Arabidopsis thaliana: one gene and its partner. The protein of the gene in region 2 interacts with the protein of the main gene of each other region in a pairwise test. Each region holds a gene or a part of one and is shown on either strand. Other genes may lie near its edges.

Region 1 (5,424 bases), on a different chromosome or scaffold from region 2:
AACAATTGTAATTCCGCAGGAGTAGCAATAAGGAATCTAGGGGTTTAAGATTTCCGACGTATCGGTCGAGAGAAGGGAGCGACATACCATGATTCAAGCCGCCGGCGAGTAAGATGCGGCGTAGCTTGGATCTTCAACGATCAGAGATTACACGCCGGAGACTAGTTCTTTGGAATCGGAATCGAATCTAGAGAAAAACGATCAACGATCATTTGTTGTTTTTATTATCGAGAGAAGAAAAATTTAACAAATTCGATCCAAAGCTCGCGGTCCTTCTTCTTCTTCCAGTTTTTTTTTTATATATATCTCAGTTGATTTTTTATTCGTTCTTTTAATTTTTTTTACTCATTTTAGTTGTCCGATTTCTCTGTGAGAAAATGTCACCAAGATTATTAGATTTCGTCATTTTTCATGTATAAAAATCGGATTTGAAACTTCTAATCCCTCCTACTGCACCTTGCTTATTTTTTTATTGCCTTGATTAGATATAATCTCAAATTTGTTTGTAAGGGTTAAGATTATCATTCTATAATTTTTTAAGTGAATTTCAGCTTCAAATCATGCAAGAATCAACCTGTAATTATTATATATTGAATCTCTCATAAGTCATTAACCAAACCTGCAAATGGCTTTCTGATCTCAAAGTATTTTTTATGTTGTGTTGATAAAAAGAGATTGCAGGAAACAAAATAATTGATTGTAACAGAAACACAAAGTTTGAGTAAAGTGATAACCAAAAACAAACAAACAACATCAAAAGATCTCTCACATTCTGCGTCGGTTTGGCACCAATTCTGGATTTCCCTTCTTCATCATCGCTACAAATTCTTCGTAGTTGATTTTTCCGTCCTAAAGATTCGAATACAAAGATGAGAAGAGAGTGTTAAACTTACACGTATACTTACAGATGTATGAATTGGACGAAACCAGAGATTTACGTATACTTACACGATCGGTGTCTACTTCAGCAATGATCTCTTTGATGGATTTATCATCACCCATGTTGTATTTCTTCATGGCTAGCTCTAGCTCTTCCATTGTTATGTAGCTAATATCACAAATCAAGATCAAAGAGTGAGACTTTATTTATAGCTTGTTAAAGAAAGAAATAGAGAGCTAAAGAACAATGTTTTACCCGCTGTTGTCATTGTCAAAGAACTGGAATGCGGTGTACAAGTGATCCTCACGTTCGATTCTGTTCATATGCATTGTGGCTGATATAAACTCCAAGTAATCAATTGATCCATCTCCATCCATATCAGCCTAAAAGAAACAAAGCATCATAAGCATTATTGCTTTGACATCAAAGTAGTGGATTGTGATAGACTTACTGCTTCCATTAACTGCCTTATTTCAGCTTCAGAGATCTTTGAACCAAGTTTTGGGAGACCGGTTCTCAATTCCTCCAAGGTGACTATTCCATTGTTATCAGTGTCTAGAGATTTGAACATCTCTTTAAGACCAATGATTTCTTCTTCAGAAAGGTTCTCAGCGATAACCTGAAATTGCAAAACGAAAACCAAAGATTGGCTTTAGAACAAGAAGACTACATAAACTACAATAGTGATGGTAAGACTGTTTCAATCAGTGTTTTAATTACCTTCAGGGCCATTTTTTTTAGTTTGTTCATCGCCCGGAATTGTTTCATCCTGGATAACACCGCATTGTCAAGCGGTTTGTCTGATGCCTCCCCATCTTCTCTAATCCACGGATGATCTGCGTATGTATCAAAACGTTATTAAAATTGGATAAAAGAAGGTGTTTTCATCAATTTATTCATCAAAACATGTTATAAAGGGGTCTTACTTAGCACTTCCGCAGCTGTAAGCCGATCTTTAGGGTCATATTTTAACATTTTCCTCACAAGATCTTTGGCACCATCTGATAGTGCTGGCCATGGATCAGCTGAAAAATCAAGTTGCCCTTGAAGAATGGCATCAAAGATCCCCGTTTCATTTTCTGCACAACAGAAAGAACGTGACTATACATTCCAGTCCAACATTTAAACAGTGAAACCAAATTCTCTTCTCAAATAAGATCAAGACAATACCTCCCCAGAAAGGCGGAACACCACTGAGAAGGATGTATAGAATCACACCAGCACTCCAGATATCAGCCTCTGGTCCATAGTTCCGTTTTAGAACTTCTGGGGCAACATAGTATGCACTTCCAACAAGATCCTTAAACTTATCACCTGCATTAATGGATCAACTTCATTAGAGGGATAAATTGTCTATAGAAATCAAATAGGGAAGGATAGAGGCTGTTCAAACCTGGCTTGAAGAAGACAGAGAGACCAAAGTCTGTAGCTTTCAATGGTGAGTTCTCATCTTTACTAAGAAAGAGAAAGTTTTCGGGCTTCAAGTCTCGGTGCATTACACCCATAGAATGACAACTATGCACAACCATCACCATCTGCCTACACAAATCCGCAGCAGCTCTCTCTGAGTAAAGACCTTTAGAAATGATCCTATCGAACAATTCCCCTCCTTCACACAACTCCATTATCAGATTCACAGAGTGTCTGTCCTCGTAGGCTCCCTTCAAGTCCACTATGTTCCTATAATCAACTCACCAATTTGAAACTCAGGTAAATATAAATATGCAAAAAGGGAAACTTTTTCAAGAGTTTAACATAGGACCACCAAACTTTTCATCCACATATGATGCAAACCATTCATTAATATAGAAAACGAATCCTATGTCTAAATATTCACCAATATTCCAACAAAAGGCGTTTCAGATTCGATTTCGGAAAATGTCAAAGAAGCATTTTCCAGTGAGATACAAAAAAAGAGATTTACCGGTGACCGCTGAGATGGTGCATAATCTGGACTTCACGGCGAACATCTTCAATGTCGTCTTTGTGAACAAGGCGGCGCGTAGGGATTGACTTGCAAGCGACCTGTTGTTTCGTCTCTTTGTGAGTTACGAGGTACGTGACACCAAACTGGCCACGACCAAGCTCACGACCAAACTCATAGGTTCTCCGTACTTCCTCCATCGGCCGACCTAAGATCCGACCATTCTGCTGAGTAGATGTGGTGGAACGAGATCCGCCTGTTCCGGAGCCTGACGATCCGACGGTTCCGGAACCGGATGATCCGCGGCGTTCTCCGGCAGGTTTAACATGGTGGACTACGTTGCCGGAGGAAGAGGAGGAGGAGGACGGTGGCGGATCGGAGGATTTGGACTTGCTGTGTCTGTGGCCCATTGTCAAAAGCTTTCTCTCAGTCAATAAAGTCAATCGAGAGAGAAAGATTGTATCTCCGATTCTTATGGCTTTTTAATGTCTGAGATCAGACACGATGACCACGTGGCGTGTTTTTATTGGTACGTAGTTGAACCGCGTATAAACAAAAGTATTTGTCCCATTGGAAGATAAATTAGTGGATGTGGAAATCTTCTGCATATTAGTTGTTTCCACTTCTCCAATCAATCACACGGCTAATTCAATGTTAATCTTTTGCAATTTGAGATTGAAAAAGGAAAAGTTATTAACATCCTTTAGGTTACAAAATCAATGATATTGCGTATGTCAACTATAAAAGCCAAAAGTAAAGCCTCTTGTTTGACCAGAAGGTCATGATCATTGTATACATACAGCCAAACTACCTCCTGGAAGAAAAGACATGGATCCCAAACAACAACAATAGCTTCTTTTACAAGAACCAGTAGTAACTAGTCACTAATCTAAAAGAGTTAAGTTTCAGCTTTTCTGGCAATGGCTCCTTGATCATTTCAATCCTGAAGGAGACCCACTTTGTAGCAAGACCATGTCCTCTGTTTCACTTACAGTGTGTCTCAAAAGTCTACTTCAATTCTTCATATATAGGTTCCTCACACTACAGCTTCATCCTCATTCGTTGACAGAGAGAGAGTCTTTATTGAAAACTTCTTCCAAGTACAACTCCACTAAATATAATAGCACCAAACCACTTGTTCGACACAAATCTGTACAGATATAAAAACACTATTAGGTTTTCCAAGGCAAATCACATAATTGGATTGTGAAAGAGTACAAAAGATAAACCCAAATTTTCATACTTTCTACTGCAGTCAGCACCAGATGATAAGTCAGCTGTCCCTATTTGCCATCCTAACTGTCCTGATGCAGCGGCCAGTGATGCGTAATATTGCCACCCTTAATCATTAGAGCGAGAAACAAAAAGAATCAAAAGACAGTAAATGGAATTAGGAATCACAAATGAGTCCTTGTAAAGTTTATTGAGTACCGAGATCTGCACTGAATCCAGAAAGTGCAAGAAAACCTATGGATGCTGTGCCAAATCCAGTTAACCAAAGCTTTGTATTATCACCGAATCTAAGGGCTGTTGACTTAACACCAACTTTTACATCATCTTCTTTGTCCTGGAGACACAATATATTAGACATTAGTCCATGGAAAAAAAATGATTTAACCTAGAATATCTCAAAATTACTTGCATAAAAACTGAACTTGAGCTGAAATTTTGGGTTCGTAGCTTGTGGCATATACTATTTCATTTTCAATGGGCCACAAAGGTAACTTTCTTTTCTCACTTCTGTTGCAAACGGGAAGACTTTTATGGGGCTAACTCTTCACTTAAAGTATAGAAATCAGATGGAAAAGGTGGGAGATCAGGGTAATTTTCTTCTTTATGATTGACAAAAGTCGAACATCGAAATGGATGCATTTGCATGAGACATGAAACAAAAGCTGAAAAAGAAATCTGTGGTGGTGAAGCTAGAAAAAGAAAACAAAGCAAGCAATATGCACACATTGAGATTAACTACTTTGCTACTGGTCATAATCAAATAGATTTTGAAGCTAAAAAATAAAAAGTGAATATACCTGATGTGCATAAATAGTATCATAAACAAGGGTCCAGCAGACTCCGGAGAGATAGAGAGGGAGTACAATAGATGGTGCTATGCTTCCTTTAACTGCAGTCCATCCTAACAATGCTCCCCAGTTTATGGTCAAACCTAAAAAGGCTTGAGGCTGCAATTATAAAAACGAATCAATCATAAGAAAATCAGAAAATATATAATGTCTAACTTTGAGAAGCCAGAATAGATTTAAATTACCCAAAATGTAAACCTCTTCATAAGTGGGTAGGAAAAGACAAGTAACAAAGATGAAGCCCCTAAAACACGGCTGCAGAATATACATACTGAAATGAGCTCAAGTAGAAAAGAATTTGATCACAAAACTAAAGACAAGACCTGAGAACATATCTTCAGAATTTGGGCCAACTACATAAGGGTGAACCATATGTGTATGTGAATTTTTAAACAAACACTTGCAAATACGCGACTTTAGGGCAAGTAAAAAATCCAAACAAACCTGTAATTGTTAAGTTGGAGAAGAATCCCTAAGCCTAAAAGCAACTGCAGCCCGAGAAATCCAATCCCTTGAAATGGTGTCAAAAGACCACTGGC
Region 2 (3,889 bases):
GTTATTTTTAGTTAATATAAATATTAAATACTTTCACCTACTTTCTCCTTGCACACCACAACTGTTTTATACTTGTCCCCACCTAAGATAATGAGTGCATGAATGCATGAACCATCATTGGCCGATGCGTTTCCTGGTGCATGTAGCTCACAGCCGTCGTTCTCACATTTTGTTATTTATGATCATACTTTTTTTTCATTAAAAGGAAAAAGGTTTACTGGTTTGGTTTAGAACAAGAACTACTCGTTATAATCATACTTTTGTTTAATTAAAAAAACAAAAACAAATAATTTCTAGTACATCTTATATTACATACTATAGTTTGATGATAAAAATAAAATTCAAATGACGATTATCATGTCGAAAAGACAAATAATAATTGTCTTACTGACCTACCTGCCTGCCTCTATATATATACTAGTCTTTGGTCGCCTTTACTATAACCAAACATCGAGCTTGCCTTAGAGTTTGTCTCAAGCTTCTCCTTTTTTGGTATTTTGTCTTAAGCTTCCTTGCTTCTCTTTCTTCTTCTTCTCTACTCTTTCTCTCTATTTCAAACCTTCGTTTTCTTTCCTTTTTTGTATAAAATCTTAAAATCAACCAAGACAATGGAAATGAAATTGCTCTTTACATCGGCTTTCACCCAAATGTTCGGCTACTCGAACCATATGGATCAAGCCAGCAACTGCCAAAGCACCCGCAACAAAATTATAAAGATGATGAAGAAAGAAGAATTCCCAAGTGGATTCCAAGTCCCTCTTCACTACCCTAAATACTCCAAGTCTGATTACGAAGTTATGGATGATCTCCGCCTTGACTTGCTCCTCAAACAATATGGATTCTCCTTTGAAGGATCTCTTGAAGACAAGAGGGTTTTTGCAATTGAATCATTTCTCTGGCCTGATCAGCTTTAGATGGTCTATGTTGGTGTTGAATGATCTTATATCGCTCTCCACATGCATATCAATGAGCCTATACTCGAGTGGTTGAATGTTTTTAAAATTATGTCAAATTACCATGTATATCAATCACTTAGTAATGTTTTAGAACTATGTCAAATACTAGTGTGTGTTATATTTCTTTGTGTGTGGGGATGTTTTGAAGTATGCAATTCTTCACATATATATGTATCATATGAGTGCATTAATAACATCTTTGATGTCATGTATAACACTAAAAAAATGTGATTTATCGACTTATAAAAATCTTAACATATTGACATTAACATAAAACATATAGATTATTGTATGATATAGATTAAACATGACGTCATGCTGGATATTTTGGCTTATTGGCTTGTACATTACTTGTGATTATGAGTGTATAATATAAAACTAATTACTAGATTTGCACAAAAAAAAAACAGAAGGATAGAAAACTAACTAGAAAATTAAGACATTACATACATTCTTCTATATGAAAAAAAACATTTAAAAAACAAAACAAAACATTTTTATACTAAGATACTAATGAAAAATCCTATCAAGAAAATGAAGAAGATCATAAAAACAAAATTATCGGATTTGAAGAGAATAAATTTTGACCAAAAAAAAAGAAGATAATTAAAATAAAATAAAAACAAGAATTGGCCAACTGTGAGAACATCATCAATGAAGACCAATTGCGAGATCCGACAACACCGCTTCTTTTGATTTCGATCTTACTTTCCTGGGTATGTCTCAATTCTTCTTCCTCCTTCAGTTCGTGTTCTGTGTCTGATTGATTACTCTCACAAAACTCATCTTTTCATTGTCTAAAGGTCTAATCTTTAGCTATAACTCAAAATCTGTATCTAAGTTCTGACAAGTTTCTGTTACGAAATTCAAATTTTTTGATACATATGTTCATTTCTCAGAACAGGAGATGTCAATTTTGGCGATGGTTTTCGTAACATAAACATGAGATTTGATTGTTCTGTGCAGATCTCATAGTTAATCTGGTTTGAGTCTAGAAATGTCGAGTGATGCAGCTCGTACGCCATTGTTACCCACTGAGAAGATAGATACCATGGCTCAAGATTTCAACCTGAACTCAAGAACTTCTTCTTCAAGAAAACGAAGATTGCGTCGCTCTAGAAGTGCTCCTCGTGGTGATTGTATGTACAATGATGATGTCAAAATCGACGAACCACCTCCTCATCCGAGTAAAATCCCAATGTTCAGTGATCTAAACCCGAATCTCAGGCGAGTGATCATGTTCTTGGCTTTATATCTTACCATTGGTACGCTCTGTTTCTACCTCGTGAGAGACCAGATCTCCGGTCATAAAACCAGTGGTGTGGTAGATGCTCTCTATTTCTGTATAGTAACGATGACAACTGTTGGATACGGTGACCTTGTCCCTAATAGTTCCGCCTCAAGGCTACTTGCTTGTGCCTTCGTCTTCTCGGGAATGGTCCTCGTTGGTCACCTCTTAAGTCGAGCGGCGGATTATCTAGTGGAGAAACAAGAGGCTTTGCTCGTTAGGGCTTTCCATTTGCGTCAAAGCTTTGGTCCAACAGACATTCTCAAGGAGTTGCATACTAACAAGTTGAGATACAAATGCTATGCTACATGCCTTGTCCTTGTAGTCCTCTTCATTGTTGGCACGATTTTCCTTGTAATGGTTGAGAAAATGCCGGTTATCTCAGCTTTCTACTGCGTCTGCTCCACGGTTACAACATTGGGTTATGGAGATAAGAGCTTTAACTCGGAAGCCGGACGCCTTTTTGCTGTGTTTTGGATCTTGACGAGCAGCATATGTTTGGCTCAGTTTTTCCTTTATGTAGCTGAGCTAAATACAGAAAACAAACAGAGGGCGTTGGTGAAATGGGTTTTAACGCGAAGAATCACAAACAATGATCTCGAAGCAGCTGATCTCGATGAAGATGGAGTTGTTGGGTAAGAAAGACATCAGACATATTCTATCTTCTGTTTCCTTCTTCCTCTTCTTATTCTTTTTTTTTTGTCTATTGTGTGTTGCAGAGCTGCAGAGTTTATTGTGTATAAACTGAAAGAAATGGGTAAGATTGATGAGAAAGATATTTCTGGGATAATGGATGAGTTCGAGCAACTTGATTACGATGAATCAGGAACTCTCACGACTTCTGACATCGTTTTAGCTCAGACCACGTCTCAGATTCAAAGGTAAGCCTCATCATCATCATCATCTTGCGAAGACGAATCAGAATCTTTGTTTAGTTATACCTTCACACAACAAAAAGCCGAAGAGAGTGAACAGTTTTTCGAAATTTTGTTTGTTTTTTCCTGTTTGTGTTTGTAATGTAATGCCACACTCTAACTCTTTGATCGTTTCTTGATGCTGAGTGTATAATTTTACATACATCTATACATATGAAGCTCTCTAGTGTTATGCTCCATGACCAAGAATTCATGGATGATTCTCTCAAAGGACAGGGTATGAAGACTGTTTTATTGCTTTAAACTTTTTTGGTATTTTGATTGATACAAAACATTTTCAAAAGATAGCGGTTTCTCGCGTTATGGAAGTCGTCGTTTCTCGAACTGAGATTCATGGCAATGAGGGTCAAGCCAGTCTCTTGAAACACCTTTTCCCATATTAGTTCCTTTCTCTGCACCTGCACCCCCGCCTACAAGCTCTCTTAAGTTAGCCATTTTGTTTTCTCGACCAGAGCCGCTCATTTTCTGATCTGCTTCCTTGAGCATCTGCTTAAACCGCTGCTTGCGGCTCGATGTGTTACTACCACCATCTTGTAGCTGCGAAGGAGGAGCTCCATGTGGTCCTAAGTAGATGTTTTCTTCAGCTTTACTCTACAAAATCATACAATGAGAGATAAAGAGTTAACAACATTTTTTTGAAACTTGTCTTGTACGTAAGAAATCAATCACTAACCTTAGGAGAAGAAGGTTTTGATGTTTCAACTTCTGAA

What was found.
Region 1: the proteins of KCO1 (region 2) and CDPK6 interact in a protein complementation assay, tested with the Arabidopsis thaliana proteins (one study listed by BioGRID).

What each region holds. Positions count from the first base shown.
Region 1 is NC_003075.7:12,324,202-12,329,625, forward strand, and holds CDPK6 (calcium-dependent protein kinase 6), read right to left. Parts: upstream 3,451-5,424; 5' UTR 3,215-3,450; coding exon 2,805-3,214; intron 2,561-2,804; coding exon 2,274-2,560; intron 2,195-2,273; coding exon 2,051-2,194; intron 1,960-2,050; coding exon 1,807-1,959; intron 1,717-1,806; coding exon 1,601-1,716; intron 1,500-1,600; coding exon 1,332-1,499; intron 1,264-1,331; coding exon 1,136-1,263; intron 1,049-1,135; coding exon 949-1,048; intron 850-948; coding exon 766-849; 3' UTR 557-765; downstream 1-556. Other genes in the region: TRH1 (Potassium transporter family protein), read right to left, coding at 88-90; PPT1 (polyprenyltransferase 1), read right to left, coding at 3,885-3,954, 4,048-4,144, 4,236-4,371, 4,661-4,726, 4,835-4,984, 5,071-5,140, 5,330-5,424. UniProt on the Arabidopsis thaliana protein: May play a role in signal transduction pathways that involve calcium as a second messenger. Functions in abscisic acid (ABA) regulation of guard cell S-type anion- and Ca(2+)-permeable channels and stomatal closure.
Region 2 is NC_003076.8:22,529,765-22,533,653, forward strand, and holds KCO1 (Outward rectifying potassium channel protein), read left to right. Parts: upstream 1-1,593; 5' UTR 1,594-1,672; exon of another isoform or gene 1,673-1,922; 5' UTR 1,923-1,953; coding exon 1,954-2,879; intron 2,880-2,963; coding exon 2,964-3,129; 3' UTR 3,130-3,358; downstream 3,359-3,889. Other genes in the region: AT5G55620 (uncharacterized protein), read left to right, coding at 609-914; AT5G55640 (Na-translocating NADH-quinone reductase subunit A), read right to left, coding at 3,480-3,770, 3,853-3,889. UniProt on the Arabidopsis thaliana protein: Voltage-independent, large conductance and potassium-selective tonoplast ion channel. Regulated by cytoplasmic calcium and pH. Does not mediate slow-vacuolar (SV) ionic currents, but essential to establish VK currents.